2 linked regions of the Caenorhabditis elegans genome follow. The protein of the gene in region 2 interacts with the protein of the main gene of each other region in a pairwise test. Each region holds a gene or a part of one and is shown on either strand. Other genes may lie near its edges. The genes, in order: nhr-170 and zip-1.

Region 1 (13,765 bases), on a different chromosome or scaffold from region 2:
CTCAATTTCCAGCTTGCAATTTTCAAAATAGTGTGGGCAGTTTGGCGGAGATTCGAGAGGTACACAATGTCTGCTGAAGTTTTCGGACAAAAATGTTATGATGAAAAAGTAGGCAGGAGTCTTACCTAAATCAAAATTCTAAAAAAATTTATTCCAGATTCTTCTGCATTCCCATAAGTTTGCAGCAAGATTTGGGAGCTATTGCGTTGATTATTCACATGTATGGAGCCAGGGTCCGCACACTTTTGAGAAGTAAGCCCTGATACTAAGAATATTGAATTTGCCATGAAATTTCCAAAATTTTGACACCCATATTGACTATTTTTATGCTATCTTGTACGGAAGGTTATTTTAAAAAATTTCAAAATTTAAACAAAAGCTGTTTTTTTTTCAAAGATTCAAAAGTACGGCAAAATAGTAATAGTAATAGAGCCTAATAGTAAATCCCCACCTAAATTTTTTTAGTCTTTTTCTCCATTTTCGGCCTAAAAAAACCAAAATGGGTATCAAAAGCTTCCAAATTTTACTTAGAATCCATATTTCCTACTACAAATTCAACATTTTCAGTGTATTCGGTGGAAAAATGATCCGATACTTTGACATAATCGTGAAGCCATACCTGGAACTTAATCTCTCTGAAACTGAAGTCACCTATATTTTATGTCAAATCGTCTGGAATTATGGCTTTAGGCCACTTTCAGGCCTGAAAACAGATTTTTCGGAATATAGTCAATATGGGTGTCAAAATTTCGGAAATTTTGTGTAGATCTCGAATTTTTACCTTGAAATCACTCAAAATGCTCTAAAAATATGCAAAACACCAATTTTGTCATACTCTTCAAAATTTTTAGTTTTCAGCTTTATTTTCAGCCCAAAAGACCCATTATTGGTGTCAAAATGCTCCAAATTTTACGTAGAATCCAAATTTCTTACTGAAAAATTCAATTTTTTCAGTGTATTCGGTGGAAAAATGATCAGATATTTTGACATAATCGTGAAGCCATACCTGGAACTTAATCTCTCTGAAACTGAAGTCACCTATATTTTATGTCAAATCGTCTGGAATTATGCAGGAAGACGGCTTCAAGGACAAACCCAAGCGGCTGGAGAACGATTTTTAGAGGAAATTTCCAATAATTTGCATAGTTACTATGAAGAAGCTGCTAGAAAAGAGGAAAATCCGAAAAACTATGCGTCAAGGCTTACGAAAATGATGCAAATTGTCAATGAAATGTTGAAAATGCAGCTGAAACAGGAAACTGACATGGACTTGGCGCTTTTGTTTGATATGTTCAATATTTCGTTTACCGAGCCCGAGTTTTTCAGGGTTTGAGGGGAATTTTATAGTAAAAAAGCAATGAAATCTTTAATTTCTAATGGAAACAGCATTTACAAAAAATTTCAGGAAAATTCCAGAAATTTTCAGACATTTCTAGCAAGTTTCAGCTCTGAAAACCTGGAAAAACTTTCAAAAACTTTGAAGAAAATTCACAAATTTTAAGAAAAATTTCATATAAATTTCAGAGATTCGGAATTTTTTTTTGAAAATTTCAGAAAATTGCAGAAATTCAGAAAATGTTCCGGAAAAATATTTCAAAAAAAAACTCACAAACTTTCATAGACTATTTTCTGGAAAATTGATTTTCAGGCCTAGTATTGGCCTAAAACGGCTTACTTCAGCTTGAAAAGTCAATTTTTCGGAAACTTAAAATTACAGTCAACATTGAAATTAAATTTCCAAAATACGACACCCATATTGACTACATTCTGAAAAATTACTTTCAGGCCTAGAATTGGCCTGGAAGCGGCCTATTTCGGCCTGAAAGTTACCTTTTTCGGAAGTCCGGAAGAAAGTTACCAATTTGACACAACGTTGTGAAAATATTGATTTCGGGCCTAGAATTTGGCTTGAAACGGCCTATTTCGGTTCAGGTAGACTATTGTCGTCGAAGAATTGGATCGTTTTCGGGCCGAATACACTGAAAAATCAGACTGATGTGGAGAATTTAGAACGTTACACAGAAATTCTAACAAATTATGATCCATATTGGCTACTTTCTGAAAAGTTAGTATTCAGGCCTGTTTTTGCCCTAGAACGGCCCGTTTCGGCCCAGAAGTAAATTTTTAGGTCATCAGTAGCAAAATAGATGTGTACATAACATTTCCCAAAATGCGACGCCCATGTTAGCTATATTCTAAAAACGTAACAATCAGGCCTAGAATTGGCCTGAAAACGGCCTATTTTGGACTGAAAAGTGAATTTTCGGAAGATTAGCATAAAAAATAGAAAGGTGCATAGCACTCCTCAAAATTTTAAACATATATTGGCTATTTTCAGGAAAAGTGAATATCAGGCCTAGAATTGGCCTGACAACGGCCCATTTCGGACTGAAAAGTGGATTTTTCGAAGATCAGCATAAAAATAGAAATGTGCATAGCACTCCTCAAAATTTTAAACCTATACTGGGTATTTTCAAGAAGTTTGACAATCAGGCCTAAACTTGGCCTGAAAACGGCCCAGTTTGGCTTAAACACTAAAATTTTCAGATCATAGTCAATATGGGTGTCAAAATTTTGGAAATTTCACGCCAAATTTGAATTTTTTAGTTTCAAGTCCACTTATGTGTGTTACAAAATTCTAAAATAACTTCACAATTTCACACAAAATATCAAACGATTTATTTTCGTTATTTTTCCACTCAAACCCTGAAAAATTCGGGCTCAGTGAACACAATATTAAACATATCAAACAACATTGCTATATCCATAGTATTTTCTCGTTTCAACTGAATACTCAGCATTTCATTGACAATTTGCATCATTTTCGTAAGCCTTGACGCATAGTTTTTCGGATTTTCCTCTTTTCTAGCAGCTTCTTCATAGTAACTATGCAAATTATTGGAAATTTCCTCTAAAAATCGTTCTCCAGCCGCTTGGGTTTGTCCTTGAAGCCGTCTTCCTGCATAATTCCAGACGATTTGACATAAAATATAGGTGACTTCAGTTTCAGAGAGATTAAGTTCCAGGTATGGCTTCACGATTATGTCAAAATATCTGATCATTTTTCCACCGAATACACTGAAAAAATTGAATTTTTCAGTAAGAAATTTGGATTCTACGTAAAATTTGGAGCATTTTGACACCAATAATGGGTCTTTTGGGCTGAAAATAAAGCTGAAAACTAAAAATTTTGAAGAGTATGACAAAATTGGTGTTTTGCATATTTTTAGAGCATTTTAAGTGATTTCAAGGTAAAAATTCGAGATCTACACAAAATTTCCGAAATTTTGACACCCATATTGACTATATTCCGAAAAATCTGTTTTCAGGCCTGAAAGTAAAGCCTGAAACGTCAATTTTTTGGAACCTTTATATTACAATCTGCATTGCAATAAAATTTCCAAAATTTTGACTCTTAAATTGACTGAATTCTGAAAAATCACTTTTCAGGCTTAGATTTTGACTTAAAACGGACTATTTTGGCCTGAAAACTCATTTTTTTGGAAACTTAATATTACAGTCAACTATTTTTTAAAAAATGCCAAAAATTTGGCACCCATGTTGACTATATTCTGAAAAATCAGTTTTCAAGCCTGAAAGTGACCCAAAGTGGCCCAAAATGGCCTACTTTGGCTTAGAAAGACGATATTTGGAAAGCAGTAGATATACATGTCAAATTTTCATAATATCTCTTAATTTACATCAATTTTGGCTTCCAGGCCTAAAATGGGCCTATTTCGGCCTGAAAACTAAAATTTTCAGAATATAGTCAATATGGGGGTCACAATTTTGCGAATTTTATGTAGATTTCAAATTTTTAACTTCAAAGTCCGGAAACTCACTTGTTAAACCGCTCAAAGCCGTGATCCGACACGTTTGAATAATCGATATGATAATTGCCAAATCTCGCGGCAAATTGGTGATTGTGAACGTGAATCTGAGAAATTTTTAATATTTTCAGACTATTTCAGGCCGTTTCAGTTACTTTTTCGTCATAGCATTTTTGACCGAACATTTGAGCAGACATTGTGTACCTCTCGAATCTCCGCCACACCGCCCACACTATTTTGAAAATTGCGATCTGGAAATTGAGAGACTTTTTTTAAGGCTAAGCTTAAATCTAAGCCCAAGCCTAAGCCTAAGCCTAAGCCTAATCAACACTACCTTTTCATGAAAAAAAAAATTTTCAGAATTTTTTTTTTAAATTTTCAGACAAACTACCAAAAAAAACTAGAAAAATGTTTTAAGCCTAAACCTAACCCCGAGTCTAGGCCTAAGCCTAAGCCTGAGTCTAGGCCTAAGCTTGAGTCTAGGCCTAGGCCTAAGCCTAATTCGAAAAAAACCTTCTCATGACTCGGTAGCCTCCGAAATTCGTCCGAATGCATAAGCCACGTGGCAGTATCCCGCATCTGTACCTCCCACCACTGGAACATTTTGTAAAATTTTACGTGCTCAAAAAATTCCGGGCTCCAGGACTGTTTCTCACGGATTTTGTGCAATGAGTGGGACATCCGCTGAAGGGGGTTCAGATGAGCAATAAGGTCTTCGTCGGGAAAATAGTGCTGCAAAAAAAAATTGAAATTCGCTGAAAAATGTAAAGATTGAGAATTTCCGAAGTCTAAACCAAAAAAATTGAATTCTTTGTGAAAATTGCAAAATTTTGACACCCATATTGAGTATATTTCTAAAACTTCAGTTTTCGGGCCGTTCTGGGCCTCATTTCAGGCTTGATCTCCGAATTTTCAAAATTTAACACACAAAAAATGCATTTTGTGAATTTTGTACAAAAGTGACATACAAATCGGTTGTTTTTAACAGTTTGTGCTTTCAGGCCGTTTTGGGCCGGCTTTTCGGACCAAAATAAGCCGTTTCAGGCCGAAATCTGCCCTGGAAACAATTTTTTTAACAATTTAGCAATATGGGTTTCGAAATAATTTAAAATAATTTAAAAATTTGTATTCTCCGCAAAATTTCCGAAATTTTGACCCCCATATTGACTATATTCCGGAAATTTATGTTTTCGGGCCGAAATAGGCCGATTTTAGGCCGAAATAAAATAGAGTCTACTCACAATTGCAAAATTTCATACAGTTCCTAAAATTTGGAAACTTAACACCGCCTAAATTTATGAGTTTTTTGAATTCGGGCCGTTTCAGGCCGAAATAGGCCGAATTTAGGCTTATACTGAAAATAATAGTAATTTTCGAAAAATAATACTATAAATTTCGGATTGTTCACAATTTCTAAAATTTTAAAACCCATTTTGAGTATATTTCTAAAACTTCAGTTTTCGGGCCGTTCTGGGCCTCATTTCAGGCTTGATCTCCGAATTTTCAAAATTTAACACACAAAAAATGCATTTTGTGAATTTTGTACAAAAGTGACATACAAATCGGTTGTTTTTAACAGTTTGTGCTTTCAGGCCGTTTTGGGCCGGCTTTTCGGACCAAAATAAGCCGTTTCAGGCCGAAATCTGCCCTGGAAACAATTTTTTTAACAATTTAGCAATATGGGTTTCGAAATAATTTAAAATAATTTAAAAATTTGTATTCTCCGCAAAATTTCCGAAATTTTGACCCCCATATTGACTATATTCCGGAAATTTATGTTTTCGGGCCGAAATAGGCCGATTTTAGGCCGAAATAAAATAGAGTCTACTCACAATTGCAAAATTTCATACAGTTCTTAAAATTTGGAAACTTAACACCGCCTAAATTTATGAGTTTTTTGAATTCGGGCCGTTTCAGGCCGAAATAGGCCGAATTTAGGCTTATACTGAAAATAATAGTAATTTTCGAAAAATAATACTATAAATTTCGGATTGTTCACAATTTCTAAAATTTTAAAACCCATTTTGAGTATATTTCTAAAACTTCAGTTTTCGGGCCGTTCTGGGCCTCATTTCAGGCTTGATCTCCGAATTTTCAAAATTTAACACACAAAAAATGCATTTTGTGAATTTTGTACAAAAGTGACATACAAATCGGTTGTTTTTAACAGTTTGTGCTTTCAGGCCGTTTTGGGCCGGCTTTTCGGACCAAAATAAGCCGTTTCAGGCCGAAATCTGTCCTGAAAACAATTTTTCAATTCAATTTAGCAATATGGGTTTCAAATTCAAAAATAAGTATTGATTAAATTTCACAAGATTATTTTTAAGCCAGTTTTAGACCGGAAAATTGACTTTTTCAGAATTTTTTCAAACTTTTTTGAAACAAATTTTTGAAAATTACCTACCGTCTCCAAAATTGCTCTACTTTCTTTAATAATTGCATTGACATCAATAAGCATTGCAGGTGCTTGAGTTTTCGGGTTAACTATGTAATATTCCACCCGATTCCGCACTTTGGCGACAATTTGCTGTGATGACGTCACTTCCATTGATGACGTGGATTGAGGGGATTGAGAACTGGTGTCTTCAGAATCGTCTTTGAAATCTGTGCGTACATCTGAAAAAAAAATTGAAAAACTGAAAAAAAAAAGTTTTAGCCCGAAATAGGCCGAAATAGGCCAAATTTTAGCCTAAAACAAAACATTGCAAACTTTAATAAGCAATCTCTTCTGAGAATTGAAATAAATCAAAGTTTTGACGCCAGTACTCGTTGTATAGTTTCTGAGTCGATTCGGGCCGAAATAAGCCGAGATAGGCCGAACTTAGATCAGTGTGAGACATGTTATGAGGTTTTTCTTTGAATGCAAAAATTTTTGTCGAGTTAAACCTTTACAACCTTATTTTTAGCTATAGTTTAAAAAATTGTGGTTGGGTTTTAAAATTTTAGAAATTGTGAACAATCCGAAATTTATAGTATTATTTTCAGTTTAAGCCTAAATTCGGCCTATTTCGGCCTGAAACGGCCCGAATTCAAAAAACTTATAAATTTAGGCGCTAAATTTTAGGAACTGTATGAAATTTTGCAATTGTGAGTAGACTCTATTTTATTTCGGCCTAAAATCGGCCAATTTCGGCCCGAAAACATAAATTTCCTGAATATAGTCAATATGGGGGTCAAAATTTCGGAAATTTTGCGGAGAATACAATTTTTTAAATTATTTTGCTTTCACAGTTTGCATTTTCAACGAAAATTTGAGAAAAAAAACCCTCACTTTCAGTAGTCATACCCAAGTCGATGCATTTTTTAAATCTGCAAAATTTGCACAGCTTCTCCTCGCCACCGGCTCCAATTTCACATTTTCCAGTTTTCTGGATACATTTGTATTTTCGGTTCAAAACTACGGTGCGCCTGGAAAAAAATTCTCCGGTACGATGCTCCGAAATTCCGCTAGAGCTTACCTGAAAAATGCAGCACACGCACGACAAGTTTCAAGCCCAAAATGCAGACCGTGACTGGTTTTTTGACAAATTTCACAGTTTACAGTGAAATATGTCATTTCTGACGAGGATGATGGAAATTCCATTCTGAAAATTTGAATTTTGGCGACAAAATATCGATTTTTGAGGAAAAAAAACTCAAAATTTCTCAATTTTTAATGTAAAAATCTATGGAAAATGTGAAAATCGTAATATATTTCATAGATGAAAAGTGAGAAATTTGATAAGAGGTGAAATAGAGACAGGGGAAAAGTAAATATTAGGGAAAAAAGCACGAGACGCAGAGTAGGAACATCAGCAGGTATTAGTCACCAGGAAACATGCATACATTATTGTCATAGGAAATATAATTTTTAGTTAAATAAACCAAAATTTTCTCGAAAAACCGGGTTCTAACACAGTTTTCAAGATTTGAAACCTAAAAAATCGAAATTCTCGCATAGAAAAACCCCCGACAGAGTACATAGGTTTTTCTATGCGAGAAAATCGAATTTTCAATTTTTAACTTATGAAAATCAAGCTGGAACATTGATTTTGGAGATTTTAGGGGGGCTTTTCTCAATTTTTGAGAATTTCAAAGCAAATCGACCAAACTAAGCTTGAATTGCATGTACACAGTTCTCTAAAGTTTAGATGTTTTGTTGAAACAACACAATTTCGGTATGATAATATTTATTCAATATTCAGAGCTTAGGCTGTTCACCATGGAATGTTTGGAACATAACGACATACTCCCAAGTAGCATCTGTGAAAAGTTCTGCACGGTGGGTCACACCATCTGCGAGTACGATTGCGGGCTACGCCGAATCCCTGGACTTCGTCTTGACAAAGAACTCCGAATGGGAAGAGAACAGCGATCTGAAATTTCAAAGCTTAATTTTTGACATTCCTAGAAGTTTTTGTATATTCTTAAACTGAAAAATTCGATTTTATCCGTCTAAATATGATTGAAAACACTTGAAAAAAATTTTTTGCCACAGCGGGGACTCGAACCCCGGTCTTGTGATTGTCAGTCGCCGAAAATCACACTGAGCCATTTGGACAAAATTTTCAAAAATTTGCGGGAAATATGTAAATGTGAGTGTAACACTAATTTTGATTCTAATTTGAAAATTTCAAATTTGAAAATTTTTTGTTGAGTAAGTAAATTTTTGGTATTTTCCAGATGTTTTTTCTCTGAAACCTCAAAATTTGAAGTTTATACTTTTCAAACATCCTGAAAACATAATAACAAAAAATTTTACCAAAGCGGGGACCCGAACCCCGGTCTTGTGATTGGTAGTCAGCAAAAATCCCACTGAGCCATTCTGGCATAAATTTTAAAATTTCAAGATATTGTCCGATTTTTTTTAAAATTTAGACTAATTCAAAAGTAATTTAGTTTTCAACTCTAGAAACACTTACCAAAACGAGAATTTTCATATTTTCGAGCGCCACACTAAAATATGAGGTTCTTAATGTTTTCCTGCTAGTTTTTATAGATTTTAATCGTATTCTCAAGGAATTTCCATTATTTCGGTGTTTGATTCGAGGCCGATGGGAATTTCAAAGAAAAATTTACATTTCTCAGTGGGCGTTTGGGAAAGTGACTCACAAATGGTTTTGATTTTTTGAACTGGCAATTGATTTTTTCGAAGTTTTCCAAGAAGATGATGCAAAAAAAACTTTAAAGTTCAGATTCAGACGCATCAAAAATACCCAAAATCCGTTCAAGCAACACTAGAAAAAAATATCGACCAGCGTGCGGACTCGAACCCCGGTCTCGTGATTGGAAGTTGGCGAAAATCCCACTGCGCCAGCCGGACAAAATTTTCAAAAATGTGCGAATTTAAAAGGGTTTCAACTCAGCTTTCAAGTTTTAAGACCCAAAAAATCGAAAATCTCGCCTATAAAAACCTAAATACCCCCAACGGGGACCCGAACCTGCGCAGTCGGGAAGAGGCTTGACTATGGGGAAATAGGAGCCAGGGTTGAACCCCCGATGGGGCACATAGGTTTTTCTAGTCGAGATTTTTGAATTTTCCACTTTTAAATTATGAGAATCGAGTTGGAAACTAGATTTTGGTGATTTCAGGGGTATGTTGCACTCTTTTTTTAAACTAATGCTGAATCAATTCGACTATGCGTCTGAAAAAAAACAATTTCCAGTAAAAACAAAACGGTCTTGATATAACAACATTTATTCAAAATTCAGATACATACTCCCAAGACGCATATGTGAGTAGGATGACACTGTGGAATACACGTAAATCTGATTTGAGAAGCTGCATTAAATGCCGGGGCATTGTCTTGGCAAAGGGCTCCGAATAGGAAGAGAGCAGCGATCTGAAACATTAATTTTTGGCGTTCCTATAAGTTTTTATGCTAAAAAAAAATTGAAAATTCAAGTTTTACAAGCTTTAATTACTATAGAAAACGTAAATAAAAAAATCTGCCACAGCGGGGCTCGAACCCCGGTCTTGTGATTGGTAGTCGCCGAAAATCGCACTGAGCCATTCGGACAAAATTTTTGAAAATTGAGCTTTCTTAGGTTTTTTAAGGTTTTAAGCTCAAAATTGATGATAATTCAACTTTTAAACTCTAGAAACACTTACCAAAATGAACATTTTCATATTTTCGAGCGCCATATTAAAATATGTCGGTCTTAATATTTTGGGGGTAACTTTTATAGATTTCAATCGTGTTCTCAAAGAATTTTATTGATTTAATGTTTGATGTGAGGACGATGGAAATTTTAAATGGAAATTTGCATTTCTTAGTGGGCGTTTGGGGCCGTGACTCAGAAACTGTTTTTTTTTTAATTTTTTTTTGAGCTAAAATTGATTTTTTCGATGATTTCCGAAAATCTAGCGTTGCAAAAAATTGAAAATTCAGATTCTACACATCAGAATTACTCAAAACCGTCCAAGAAACACAATAAAAATATTCCGACCCGGGTGCGGACTCGAACCCCGGTCTTATGACTGAAAGTCGGCGAAAATCTCACTGCGCCATTCGGACAAAAATTTCAAAATTGGTCAAAATTCGGAGCACGTGATAGAAAAGCTGCTTAAAGCATAATTTTCACATTTTAGTTACAAAAATCCACTTTGAAACTAAAAAAAGAAAATTTTTGCAACCAAATTTTCGACATTTTCTAAAACTTTCTGAGTTCCCAAACTTAAAAATTTGAATTCTACGTCTCAAAAATACTCTAAAACAATTTTTAAAAATGGAAAAAAAAATTGTGCCGCGGTGCGGACTCGAACCCCGGCCTTGTGATTAGAGGTCGGCGAAAATCCAACTGCGCCATTCGGAAAAAATTTTCAAAATTGGCGGAAATTCAAAAACTTATAATAAAACTTACTTTTTCAAGCATTTAGTACAGTTCCCACAAAATTATTCGAAATTCTCATGCTTGGCTCAACGAGGCTCCCCACCTGACTCTCATTTGGAACTGGAAGTCTGAATTTTTTTTTTTTTTTTGAGAATTTTTTTTCTCAAAAAAGAACCTTAACAATCTGAAAACCTTCTCCTTAAGTACCCGTCGGTATACCCCATTGCTCATAACCATTACAAAACACTGACACATTGAGTGGGAGGACATTAGGAAGGAGAAGGTGGAGGCCAGCTCTGAAAATTTTTTTTTCGATAAAAACTTTTTTTCTGAAAACCTTTTCTATTACCTTCAAAAGCCAATGAATTTGTCATAATTACTACTAGAATCATGTACAAAGGGGTTGTTAGAAGCATTCCGGGGATCACCATTTGCATGGTCAGGCTTATGAGGGCTGTTCTGTGCATTTGGTAGGTTTGGGGGGACATGTGAGCACGTAAACGTTGGAGAATCATCATAGTGTGTACGCCAAGGTATAAACAGTAGCTGGAAAAATTTATTCATACCTCAATTGATTGTGACACCTATAAATGCTCTTTCAACAAATTTTCAAGGTTTTAAAACCTAAAATTTTGAAATTCCCGCATAAAAAAATCTATCTGCCTCAACAGGGACTCGAACCCGTGACCTTTTGCTCCATAGACAAGCCTCTTATCCTCTGCGCCACGAGTGCCCCCTTCGCCGCAAAAGAATGCACAGCATAGCGCAGTGGGTAAGAAGCTTGACTGGGGGGAATAGGTCTCAGGTTCGAGCCCCCGGTGGGGTAGATAGGTTTTTCTACGCGAGATTTTTGAATTTTCAACTTTTAAATTATGAGAATCGAGTTAGAAACTAGATTTGCGTAGTTCTCAGGTCCTTTTTTTCACTTTAATTAATTGGCTCAGTGGGATTTTTGCCGGCTACAAATCTGACGACCGGGGTTCGAGTCCCCACTGTGGGTTTTCGAATTTTCAGATTTTATGATAACTTCAATGAGTATTGAAAAATGTCGAAAATTTGGTTTTAATGACAATCTTCAATTTTATCAGTTTACCTTGCAACCACAAAGACCCAACCAATTCCTCCGAGCCCTGCCACTGGAATCCACGTGTTCACTTGCCAGTTATAAGCTTCAAAGCCATCATAAGCCATCCAGCTCAAGCATTGGGGGTAATTCTGTAAAATTTCGAGGAAAAAAGTAGGTCTGGGTGTCCGGATGTCCATTACCTGCCTAACATAGTCATATTTTTGCTCGTAAGTCAATTGCGACATCCATGTGCCAAAACCAGTGAAAAATGGGAAAATGTGCGTCAAAACTAGCAGGAGTTTTTCGAAATACATCTTTCCCGAGTAGTCCTGCAAAAAATTTGTGAAATTTTCGAAAAAAAAACGGATTTTCAGATCTTGAAACTATGAAATTCGGATTCAGAACACTTAAATTACCCTGGAGCAAGTAGAACAAAGCGAAAAAAAATTTCGACCAAAGCGGGGGTCGAACCCCGGCCTTGTGATTGCCAGTCGGCGAAAATCCCACTGCGCCATTTGGACAAAATTTTCAAAATTGGTGGAAATTGAATAAAATGGTAGAAAAACTAGTTTTAAGTGATGATTTCATATTTTAGTTGTAAAATTTTTGATTTTTTAGACAAATTTTCGATTTTTCAAAATTTCAACATAAAATTTCGAGTTTTTTGAGCTTTTAAACTGAAAAATCTGAGTTCTAAATCCTCAAAACACAAAAAAACAATGAAACAAAAATTTTTGTCACAGTGCGGACTCGAACCCTGGTCGTGTGATTGGTAGCCGACGAAACTCCCACTGCGCCATTTGGCCAAAAACTTCATAATTGGTATTTTTCAACTTTTTACCTGATTAATTTGTGCTGCAGCATTATGTCGGTATACAAAACATGTCAGAGCAGCCGACAAAACGAAGCAAAAAATGAAAACCCAAATGGTCAAGCTCGCGTGTGTGCTCACGAATCTTCGAAAGTTCTCCTCCAGGATATAGCCACCGGCCAATGGGAAAAAGAAGTATGAGGGGCATATCCAGGACATGTAGAGCTCCGTGAGCATTGAGACACTCTGAAATTTGAACTTTTCAAATAAAAATTTGAAAAAAAAAATTTGAAAAAAAAATTTTTTTTTTTGAAATTTCGAAAAAAATTTGTTTTTTTCGAAATTTTATACAAATTTAAATTTTTAAAATTTTTAACCTCCTTGGGCCTATTTTTTATACTATGATCCTCCTAAATCCCCTTACCTGCATGTAACAAAGACAATACTTATAGCCCTGCATTCCTGGGGACTGAAACCAAACCATATAAAATCCCAAAACATTCATTGGAATCGAAATTGCACCAATTACATGTAAGGTAGGCATATAATAGGCAGGCAATGTTTCAGGACATGGTGCCGGCATTTTTTTGCTGAAAATTTTTGGGAATTTCTTGGAGAAATTTGACAAAAAACTGCAAGATTTGAAAAAAATGTGACTGGAGTTCAGTGATCTGGTTCATGATTTTTTTTTTCGTTTTTTTTTTTCAATTTTTTCACCTGCAAAATTTGTATATTTGTATAATTTTCTTTAAAAAAACTTCACCTGTTTTCGCCGGCAGAACCAATTTTCTCGTGAAAATTTGATTTGCTGATCCCGGGTGAATAGCTTAAAATTTAGATTCTCAGACTACTTGTAGAAAATTGTAAGTTTGAATTTTGAACCTCTCACAGAGAAAAACCTATACTCAATACTTAAAACTTGGAAAATATAAAAATTTTAGTTTTTTTTTTTTGGAAAAAAGTCACTTTTCCATTCAAAATGGTAGTTTTAAACAAAAAAATTTGAATTCACCGCCTATAAAAACCTATATACCCTTCTCGGGGTCGAGCCCTGACCTTTTGCGCCAAAAGCAAGCCTCTTATCCACTGCGCCATGCAGCAGGCGCGCGCGGTACACTTATGGCGCAGTGGGTAAGAGGCTTGCTTTTGGCGCAGAAGGCCGCGGGTTCGAGTCCCAGAGAGTGGCTACAGGTTTTTCTAGGCGAAAAATTTGAATTTTTGGGTTTTAAATTGCCTAAAACTTAA
Region 2 (11,226 bases):
TACTTTTTGCAAAATTTACGGAAATTCATATGTAAAATCGCCGCAAAATTTCACTTCAAAAGCTCACCAATCGGCTCATTTCGGCTTTTGTCATGCGAGTTCTCTTCTCGCCGCTCGATTTCTCGCCGAGCTTCGCCACTTTTCCGATTTTTCCACCAGATTTGTTGCTGGCTGTGGAGGTACGGCGGGATCTCGTTGGAGCACAAGCATTTGCATTATTGCCAATTGGAGTATATGCTGGGCTTATTGGACCGCTTGTGCAGCAGTAGGATGGAGTGGAAGACGGAGAGAAAAGAGAGGGCTCTGAAAAGAAAAAAATTGGGATTTAAAAAAATTTTGAAAAAATTCACATTTTTTTCCGGCAATAGTGCCGATTTGTCGGAAATTTTCAATTCCGGCAATAGTGCCGATCTGTCAAAAATTTCAATTCCGGCAAATTGCCGATTTGCCGGAAATGTTCAATTCCGGCAATTTGCCGGTTTGCCAGAAGTTTCCAATTCCGGCAAATTTCCGGTTTGCCAGAAATGTTCAATTCCGGCAATTTGCCGGTTTGGCGGAAATTTCCAATTCCGCCAATTTGCCGATTTGCCGGAAATGTTTAGTTCCGCGAATTTGACAATTTGCTTGAATTTTTCAGTTCCGCCAATTTGCTGATTTGCCGGAAATTTTTAATTCCGGCAAATTGCCGATTTGCCAGAAATTTTCAATTTTTTTTTGTTTTTGAAAATTTTTTTTTGGCGGGAAATTCAAATTTTTTGGCAAAAAAATTTTGGCGGAAATTCAAATCTTCCAAGAAAACCAACACGCAAAAAATTAGTTTTTTTTCCTTTTTAATGCAATGCCTGTAGGCAGGCGGGTAGGCAACGGGAAAATTATTTAATTTCGTCAATTTGCCGATTTGCCAGAATTTTTCAATTCCGGCAACTTGCCGGTTTGCCGGAAATTTTCAATTTCGTCAATTTGCCGATTTGCCAGAAATTTTCTCACTTTCTTCAATCGCATACTCATTCTGATGGAAATGAGCATTTGCATACGTCTCATCGGTAATTTGCATTCTTTGGATCAAGAATTCCGGCTCATTCCCATTGTAAGCAGGCTGCTGCTGCTGGGCTGAAAATATTGGAAATTAAGCCTTCAAGCCTTTAAGCCTTTAAGCTTTAAGCCTTACCGAATGGCTGAAAATCAACAAATCCGTAGCCATTTTCCTGATATGTGGCGGCTTCATCAGCTTGTGCTGGGCGTTGTGGATTATCGAAATCTGCAAAAAAATTAGAATTCGGATGAAACACGGTTTGATCTACGTTGATCTACAAAAAATGCGGCAGACTTTTCAACTGACGTCACATTTTCCTGGGCAAAAATTTCCCGCATTTTTTGTAGATCAAACTGTGATGGGACGACAGCCTGGCACCATGATGACTAACCAATTTCCGTTTTAATAACAGTCTCCCGTATCCGGAAAGGAACAAAAATGTAGACATTCATTTTTTCCGCTAATTATCAGCAATTTTTTAAGTTAAAAATGAACCAACGAATTAAGAATGAGCAAAAAAGAACACCACTTTATTAGTCTATAAAACCGCCAATTTCTCTTATCAATTTATATATATATATATATGTCCGCCTGTAGTATCCCAATACCACGCCTATTTTCGCCTATTTCGGCATCAATTAGCGACGGGTCAAAAAATCAGAAATGATTGATTTATTATGAGGAATAATGTGAAATTAGTTGGTTTAATTAGGAATGAAACCTGATTTATTACAATTAAAATTGCAAAAAAATATGAGGAAGAAAATATATTTTTTTCAATTTTCAACGGTAAAAACTGTAAATTCCAAAAATCGATCAGCAATTATTTCCTATTATTTAAATTCCTTTAAAATAATTGCCAATTCAACTATCATAAATTCGTAAATAAAACATTTTTTAATTCGCCACTCTACTTTAAAGGCGCACGGTGCTTTCTAAGTGGGTCTCGCCACGATCTCAGCACGGGCGGGCAAATTTTAAAGATTCGCTCATATGATGTATGATGTCATATGTAGAAAATTGTAATATTTATAATTCTAAGGTGCACAGGGTGGGGGAGAACGATTTTTTCCGGCAAATCGGCAATTTCGCCGGAATTGAAAATTTCGGGCAAATTGAGAAACCGGCAAATTGCAGGAATTGAAAATTTCGGGCAAATTGGGAAATCGATGGAATTGAAAATTTCCGAAAAATCGACAAATTACCGGAATTGAAAATTTCCGGCAAATCGGAAAATCGATGGAATTGAAAATTTCCGGCAAATCGGTAAATTGATGGAATTGAAAATTTCCGAAAAATCGGAAAATCGATGGAATTGAAAATTTCCGGCAAATCGGTAAATTGATGGAATTGAAAATTTCCGAAAAATCGACAAACTACCGGAATTGAAAATTTCCGGCAAATCGGAAAATCACAGGAATTGAAAATTTCGGGCAAATTGGGAAATCGAAAAATTGCCGGAATTGAAAATTTCCGGCAAATCGGAAAATCACAGGAATTGAAAATTTCGGGCAAATTGGGAAATCGAAAAATTGCCGGAATTGAAAATTTCCGGCAAATCGGCAAATTGATGGAATTGAAAATTTCCGGCAAATCGGCAAAATCGCAGTAATTGAAAATTTCCGGCAAATCGGCAAAATCACCGGAATTGAAAATTTCCGGCAAATTGGGAAATCGAAAAATTGCCGGAATTGAAAATTTCCGGCAAATCGGCAAATTGATGGAATTGAAAATTTCCGGCAAATCGGCAAAATCGCAGTAATTTAAAATATCCGGCAAATGGGCAAATCACCGGAATTGAGAATTTCCGGCAAAATGGAAAATTGCCGGAATTGAAAATGTCCGACAAATCGGAAAATTGCCGGAATTGGAAATTTCAGGCAAATCGGCAAAATCGCAGTAATTTAAAATATCCGGCAAATGGGCAAATCACCGGAATTGAGAATTTCCGGCAAAATGGAAAATTGCCGGAATTGAAAATGTCCGACAAATCGGAAAATTGCCGGAATTGGAAATTTCAGGCAAATCGGCAAAATTGCCGGAGTTGAAAATTTCCTGCAAATTGGGAAATCGGAAAATTGACGGAATTGAAAAATTTCGGAAATTTGGAAAATTGCCGAAATTGAAAATTTTCGGCAAATCGGAAAATCACCGGAATTGTGAATTTCGGGCTAATCGGCAATTTGCCGAGATTAAAAATTTCCGGAAAATCGGCAATTTGCAAGAATTTAAAATTTCCGGCAAATTGGTAAACCGGCAAATTGCCTAAATTTAAAATTTCTGGCAAATCGGAAAATTGCCGAAATTAAAAATTTCCGGGAAATCGGCAATTGCCGGAATTGAAAATTTCCGGCAAATTGGCAAATTGCCGATATTGAAAATTTTCGGCAAATCGGCAAATCACCGGAATTCACGATTTTCGGCAAATTGGCAAACCGGCAATTTGCCTATTGCCGCCCACGCCTGGCACGCATATACATATAAATCCTGGCTTTATATATGTGCACTTTCGAACTTTTAATATCCAAAAATGTTGCACATGCACAGAGATCGTGACGAGACCCACTCAGAAAAAACATCATGTGCCTTTAAAATGGAATAAATTTTTACGAATTTACTAGGAAAAAAATTACTGAAAACTGATTTTTCGGTGATGCTCTAAAGTATTAATGCTCTAAAGTTTTTCAATTTCAATTATTCCTAATGATAAATTATATAGCTGACCAGCTAATTGATCACATATGCTGCTTATCGTAATAAATGTCATTGATCAGGGAAAAAAATTTAAGTGTTAGCAATTCCGAAGGAAGTATGAATCATGTTTATGTTGCTGTTGCTAACATTTATTTCCGACAAGAGAAATATATGATTTTTCGAGATAATCATCCCTTATACTCCTCCTATCACCATTTTCGGGTGATTTTTATATCATACTTTTTAATACTATATTAATACTATAATATATTACTATATATATATATATATATATATATATATATATATATACTATAATATATGATATATGTATATATTAATACTATAGTATATAATACTATCATTTACTATATATAAAGCGCTTATTCCGTTTGTCCATAGTTTGTAGTCTATGTAGTCTTTGTAGTCTGCAGTTGGGGTACTGTAGTGGTACAATGGTGGCACGGTAGGAGTACTGTATGATTACGGTAGTTTCAGAAAAATTGGTTTTCAGCTCCAGAAGTCAGCTCCAGAAGCCACGGCTGGTATATATATATATATATATATATATATATATATATATATATATATATATATATATATATATATATATATATATATATATATATACAGTGCGAACAACTTCTATCGCGCTTCCAATTATTTTCGAGTTTCAGTACTTTCCAATTTTTTTTTCTCGAAAAACGGTGAATGCCATTTGATTTTAAATGTCAAAAAACCCCTTGTCGTAAATTTTTATCGAAAAATATCAAACACTGCGAGGACTATAGGTCAAAAAGTCTTAAAAACGACCGTGCAACTTCTATAGCGCATATTTTTTGACAAGGGGTTTTTTACGACAATTTACGACAAGGGGGTTTTTCGACATTTAAAATCGAATGGCATTTACCGTTTTTCGAAAAAAATTTTGGAAAGTACTGAAAATCGAAAAAAATAGGGGGCGCTATAGAAGTTGCACGCACTGTATATATATATATATTAATACTATACATCCGTTATATTTATACACCCGTTATTCAACTAACCATAATAACTCTTTATATCCCATTCAACTGCCTCATTCTCCGCGTTTATATAGTTGAGAGTTGGCTCAATTTGGGTCTCGACGCGAAGTTCGAACAATACCTAGAAACCGGTAAGCATTCATGGGCCTAACTCTTATTTAATATACCTTATCCGGATTCTTATCCACCGCCGTCATTTCAACATCCCCTTGATTATTCGGAAGAATCTCCATCGGAGCCAAATCCTCCTCGGCTGGTATGAATGAAAAAGGCTCCGTTCGTTGAAACTCAAGAGAAGCGTTCATCAGGTCATCCGGTATGACGACTCCCTGCGAATAATCGGTTATTGGATGAGGCGGCGCATTTTCAAGGCTAGTTACCAAAAAGTCCGCATCCATCATATCATCATCTTCCGAGAAATCGACGAAATTGTTATTTTGATTGTTCATTTTTGATAGTTTCTTTTCTGAAAAGTGTGCATTGAATTTTCAACTGGGAAATTTGCAGGAAAAAAACAACGGAACGAGTCATCGGATCGGACTTCAGAGAATGCTACAAAGGCTAAGCTATTACCGATCCAGAAAGAGTGTAGTCAGTTGAAGAGACACAGGCATCTGGGGACCCGGGAAAGAGTCAATTTGTGTCGATTTACGGAAGAGTAACACTTCAAAAAAATAAAGCTAAACCTAACTAAAACCTCCAATTTTGCGTTCCTATCTCGTGTTAACTGTTAGGCAAATTTTAGGCCTGTAGGCATTTAAAATTAGATGCCTAATGTACCTAGAGGCAACATTGAAGATTTCAGCTAAATTTGGCTAAAATTTGAACCGTCATAAATACATAAATACAGTGTGCACGTGGTGTCAGAGTGCCCCATATCGGTTTGATCTACGAGAATCGCGGAAATTTAGACGCAGAGTTCTGAACTGATTTTTGCGACCCCGGAAAAATGGGCAAAATTCGATATTTTAGCTAAAATCAGTGCAATTTTTTCAAAATTTTGAACCGCCATAAAAAATTTTTGAAAATTTTTTGAGAAGTTTCATTACGAAATTCGTTCATTTGAGTCCATTTTGGGTCTATACGTTCAAAATTGTTCGAACCGTTAGTCCTCCTTTAAGAGTAACGCTCCGTAAATCGACACAAATCGGCTCTTCCCCCGCGCACCGCCCTTTGGGTCCCGAGATGTCTGTGTCTCTTCAATTGACTACACACGCTCTCTCTCTCTGTCTGGATCGGTAATATAGTTCGTAACAAGAAAATCCCAGGCAATTTTTTGAACCAATCAAAAATGAAAAACTGTTCAAACAGGCCAAATTTAGCAGAAACCTTCAATTTCGCTACTAATTTTAGATGCCTACCTGCCTAAAACTTGTCTAAGTTAACACGTAGCTTAAGCCTCCAAATTGTGCACAAAAAAGTGGGAATTTGGAGATTTTACATCTATTTTTGCAAAATTTTAATAACTATATATAACTGTGCAATTCATTTGCTTAATTCCTGATTTTCCTTCCATTGCATGGCTATTTTGAAATACTCACGTTAAGTACTATTTATTAATTGAAATCAACTTTTTTCCAACAAATTAGACTTCCAAAAATAGTAAAAACTACAGAAATCGAAGGCAGAAATGAAGCGAATGGGGTCTTCCTCACTTTAAAATTTTAGGCGATGGGGTGGGAGAGGGCGCCAGAGTGAAGCAGAGAAGAGAGTGCTGATAACGAAGAGAGCGAGAGAGAAAGAAACACGAAATTTTCTGTTTACGCTGTCCGCATTTCCTCAGACAAGAAATAGTGTGGGAAATGGAGAGAGTGCTGTCTGTAGTCCTATGATGTGATCGGAAGGAAAGATCGACACAAAAAGTGATCGTAGTTTGGCCTTGTAGATCAGTTTGAAGAAAGTAAATTTGTTGAGACAAGTAGTGTATCTTCGAAGCTAACAAGATCTAATTTTAGCGAAAAGGGTCTCGACGCGACAATATTTGTTTTGAAACCAGTGTGCGCCTTTAAATGACCGAATCAGGGGTGGACGGTTCGCCAAATTTTTTTTCGGCAAATTCGGCAAATTGTCCGTTTTTGCCGGAAATTCAAATTCCAGCAATTTGTCGATTTGCCGGAAATTTCAAATCCGGCAATTTGTCGTCGATTTGCCGGAATTTCAATTCCGACAATTTGTCGATTTGCCGGAAACTTTAATTCCGGCAATTTGTCGATTTGCCGGAAGTTTCTATTCCGGCAATATGGCGACTTGCCGGAAATTCAAAATCCGACAATTTGCCGGTTTTTGCCGAAAGAAATTTCAAATCCGACAATTTGCCGATTTGTCGGAAATTTCAATTCCGGCTATTTGTCGATTTGCCGGAAATTTCAATTCCGGCAATTTGTCGATTTGCCGGAAATTTTCAATACCGACAATTTGTCGTCGATTTGCCGGAAATTCAAAATCCGACAATTTGCCGGAAATTTCAATTCCGGCAATTTGTCGATTTGCCGGAAATTTCAAATCCGACAATATGTCGATTTGCCGGAAACTTTAATTCCGGCAATTTGTCGATTTGCCGGAAGTTTCTATTCCGGCAATATGTCGACTTGCCGGAAATTTCAATACAGGCAATGTCGTTTTGCTGGAAATTTCAAATTCGAAAATTTGTCGATTTGCCGAAATTTTCCATTCCTGCAATTTGCCTATTTGCCGGAAATTTTTAATTACGGCAATTTGCAGTCGATTTGCCGGAAATTTCAAATCAGACAATTTACTGATCTGCCGGAAATTTCGATTCCGGCAATTTGTCGATTTGCCGGGAATTTGCCGGAAAAAATCGTTTGCCGCCCACCCCCATGAACAATCATCATCTTCAAACTCCGCCCATCCCACCTGATTGGTTGAAAAGTGGGCGGAGCAAATCGCTGATTGGTCGCAGTTTTAATTTTGGAGGGAATTTAGCTAAATTTAAAAATTTCGTTTTTTTGTGATATTCAGAAGAATTCGAAAAATGTTCAATTATTTGAAACTTTCTGCACTGTTTTTTGGAATTTTTCATAAAATTTCGGTTAAATCTGCAATTTTGAGAGTTTTTTCCTCAAAATGATGGGAATTTTTCAAAATGTGCTGGAAAAAATTACGAAAAATTCCAAATTTTCTCTAAAAATCAAATTTTTCGGCACTTTTTCTAGAAAAAATGCGTGATTTTTGTGGCCTGATTGCCATTTCCGATTCGAGTTTTTTTTCAAAAAAAAAAAAAAACTACGTGCAGCGGCGAGCAGAACAAATAAATAATAGTGAGTCATTTTTCGAAACGACACAAATAAAATCTTGCGGTGTACTTGGGCTCTTATCAACGAAATTTTACAGAAAAAAAAGAGACCCGTGCTGAGGAAATTGGCCCGATTGGAGCACAGAAACGTCACGATTACAAAAAAAACTAAAAATTTAAATTTTCCATGGAAATCGATTTTTTGTTCAAAAACAAGAATTTAAATTCATTTTTCTTTTTTGTTGCAAAATTGCATTTTAAATCATAATTTTGAGCTAAAAACTCACTTTACATTGGATTCGTTCCGTTTTTTTTCTATTTTTTTCCTTTTGAAGTATCCAAAATTTGATTTTCCTGTAAAAAATTCAATTTTAAAGGAGAAAAAACACATTTTTCAGTTAAAAAACCATTTTTGTCGATGGAGCGCACTTACTGACTTAACTTTTTTTACCTCAGAGAAGCAGAAATGCGAAACTTTTCGTACAAAAAGTGAACTAAAATATCGAAAAACGCAGGGAATAAATTATTTTTATAACTTTAGAATTTAAAATTTTCAAAATTAAATCATATTTCTAGATTTTTGCGTCTCGAAACGACTTTTAACCTTTTAGCTTCCATAAACTCTCGAAATCGGGGAACACGGAATCACAAACTAATTCGACAAAATGAGAGTTTTTAAAAGGAAAGGAGTTTTTTTTTGGCCTTTTTTAAAACAATATTCGGTTACGTTTACCTATTAGAAGAATATTCATACAAAATCCCGACTGACCAAATTACGCAGGAATCAGGCAAGAAGCCGACTGGATTTGATACTTGCCTAAGGTGATATTTATACTCCCTTTTTATCAGCAAAATTTTTTTTTTTGTAAATAATTGAGTGTCGATTTTGTACTGAGGAAACGCGCCAGCACTAAAAGTTCGGTAAATTTGGCAAATCGGCGAATTGCCAGTTTGCCGGTTTGCTGGAAATTTTTAATTCCGGCAATTTATCGATTTGCCGGAAATTTTCAATTCCGGCAATCTATCGATTTGCCGGAAATTTTCAATTCCGGCAATCTATCGATTTGCCGGAAATTTTCAATTCCGGCAATTTATCGATTTGCCGGAAATTTCAATTCCGGCAATTTGTCGATTTGCCGGAAATTTACAAATTCGGCAATTTGCTGGTTTGCCAGAAAATTTCCATTCCGAAAAATTGCCGGTTTGCCTAACTTGCCAGAAAATTTCCATTCCGAAAAATTGCCGGTTTGCCTAACTTGTCAGAAAATTTCCATTCCGAAAAATTGCCTGTTTGCCAAACTTGCCAGAAAATTTCCATTCCGAAAAATTGCCGGTTTGCCAAACTTGCCAGAAAATTTCCATTCCGAAAAATTGCCGGTTCACCTAACTTGTCAGAAAATTTCCATTCCGAAAAATTGCCGGTTTGCCTAACTTGCCAGAAAATTCAATTATGGCAATGTTGCGATTATCGTTTTGAAATTCTGAAATTTCCAGAAAATAAACTTGCAAACCCACAACTTGCCGAAGTGTTTTTTTCCGGCAAATTGCCGATTTGCCGCACTTGCCGGAAATTTTCCTTTCCGTCAAATTGCCGAATTGCCGGAAATTTCAATTCCGGCAATTTGTCGATTTGCCGGAAATTTACAAATTCGGCAATTTGCTGGTTTGACAGAAAATTTCCATTCCGAAAAATTGCCGGTTTGCCTAACTTGTCAGAAAATATCCAGTCCGGCAAATTGCCGGTTCGCCGAACTTGCCGGAAATGTTCCATTCCGGCAAAAATATTTAGACTACAAGGAGAATAAATGAATAAGAACACATTTTCAAAAAGTACAACCATCGGATAAATTCCATAATTTATTTAACAACAGATTCTTTATCATCATTATCATTTTGTAACAAACACAAATTATCAGCAACAAAACGGCACAGCTCTTCCAAATCCAAAGTTTTATTGTTTTTAATTAGTTGATCTAACATGTCTTTAGGAATTGAGGTGACTAGGGGAGCAGCTTTTGGTACCGTTTGCTTAACATATTCGTCTGCCAACTCGGCAAGTTTTGTCTCACGATGATGCTCCTGTAATAAGTTATTTTTAAAAAAATATTCTGGAAAAATTTACAATTTTATTGGGAAATTCTAAAAAATGAACTAAAATTACATGATTCGTCTCGAAATAAAATTTTTTTCAACTAGAACTTTAGGCTAATTTAGGCCAATTTTTGAGCATTCTCCCCAATGTTTCAGTTAACGGGATTTTCTTCATTTTGACTGTTTCAGGTAAGAATTTATATAAACGAACATGTTCATGTGCAGATATTTGATACAAATGCTGTCTCCACTCCATTTGCTGCTTTGCTCGGATTTTTCGGGAACCTAAAGTCCCAATTACTCCGTTTTTTAGACGTAGGTCTTCAGCAGCTTTTTCAAATTCTTCTCGAGCACTGGCGAGCCTCTATAATTTGGTTAATAATTTTAAAATTGACTTTTCAAAAGAAAAAGTCGGAAATTCAGAAATTCCACAAAAAAAGTTTAAAAACGGGATTTACAAACTAAGGAGAACTCCCCGACCAATCACCATCTTTGAACTACGCCCACTCGATCTGATTGGTGGAAAAGTGGGCGGAGCAAATCGCTGATTGGTCGCAGTTCTCAGTTTTGCATTTTTGAAAAAACTCAAACTAAAGTAGGACTTTTTTATTTATTCGCTATTTTTTTGACAAATCGGCAAATCGGCAAATTGAAAAATTCCGGCAAATCGGCAAATTGAAAATTTTCGGCAAAACGGCAAATTGAAAAATTCCGGCAAACCGGCAAATTGAAAATTTCCGGCAAATCGGCAAATTGAAAACTTCCGGCAAATCGGCAAACTGATGGAATTGAAAATTTCCGGCAAATCGGCAAATTGCAGGAATTGAAAAATTTCCAGCAATTCGACAAATCAACAAATTGCCGGTATTGAAAGTTTCCGGCAAATCGGCATATTGCCGGAATTTATAATTTCTGGCAAATCGGAAAATTGCCGTTATTGAAAATTCCCGGCAAATCGGCAAATTGCCGGAATTGAAAAATTCCGGCAAATCGGTAAATTGAAAATTTCCGCAAATCGTCAAACTTCAGGAGTTGAAAATTTCCGGCAAATCGACAAATTGCCGGAATTGAAAATTTCTGGCAAATCGGCTAACCGGCAAAATAAATTTTCGGCAAATTGGTCACTTTTT

What was found.
Region 1: the proteins of zip-1 (region 2) and nhr-170 interact in a two-hybrid assay, tested with the Caenorhabditis elegans proteins (one large-scale study listed by BioGRID).

What each region holds. Positions count from the first base shown.
Region 1 is NC_003283.11:18,793,407-18,807,171, forward strand, and holds nhr-170 (Nuclear Hormone Receptor family), read right to left. Parts: upstream 7,421-13,765; 5' UTR 7,414-7,420; coding exon 7,289-7,413; intron 7,239-7,288; coding exon 7,102-7,238; intron 6,447-7,101; coding exon 6,235-6,446; intron 4,563-6,234; coding exon 4,344-4,562; intron 4,082-4,343; coding exon 3,986-4,081; intron 3,938-3,985; coding exon 3,843-3,937; intron 3,079-3,842; coding exon 2,700-3,078; 3' UTR 2,655-2,699; downstream 1-2,654. Other genes in the region: nhr-231 (Nuclear receptor domain-containing protein), read left to right, coding at 13-108, 158-252, 955-1,333; C54E10.11 (FIP (Fungus-Induced Protein) Related), read right to left, coding at 8,027-8,185, 8,732-8,749; C54E10.10 (Late nodulin), read right to left, coding at 9,518-9,652, 9,922-9,954; sri-10 (G protein-coupled receptor), read right to left, coding at 10,678-10,771, 10,819-10,939, 10,993-11,189, 11,737-11,858, 11,910-12,038, 12,551-12,766, 12,945-13,103.
Region 2 is NC_003281.10:12,330,899-12,342,124, reverse strand, and holds the start of zip-1 (BZIP domain-containing protein), read right to left. Parts: upstream 5,219-11,226; 5' UTR 5,202-5,218; coding exon 4,920-5,201; intron 4,874-4,919; coding exon 4,774-4,873; intron 4,460-4,773; exon of another isoform or gene 4,333-4,459; intron 1,259-4,332; coding exon 1,169-1,258; intron 1,111-1,168; coding exon 988-1,110; intron 304-987; coding exon 68-303; intron 1-67. Other genes in the region: zip-12 (BZIP domain-containing protein), read right to left, coding at 9,863-10,084, 10,308-10,460.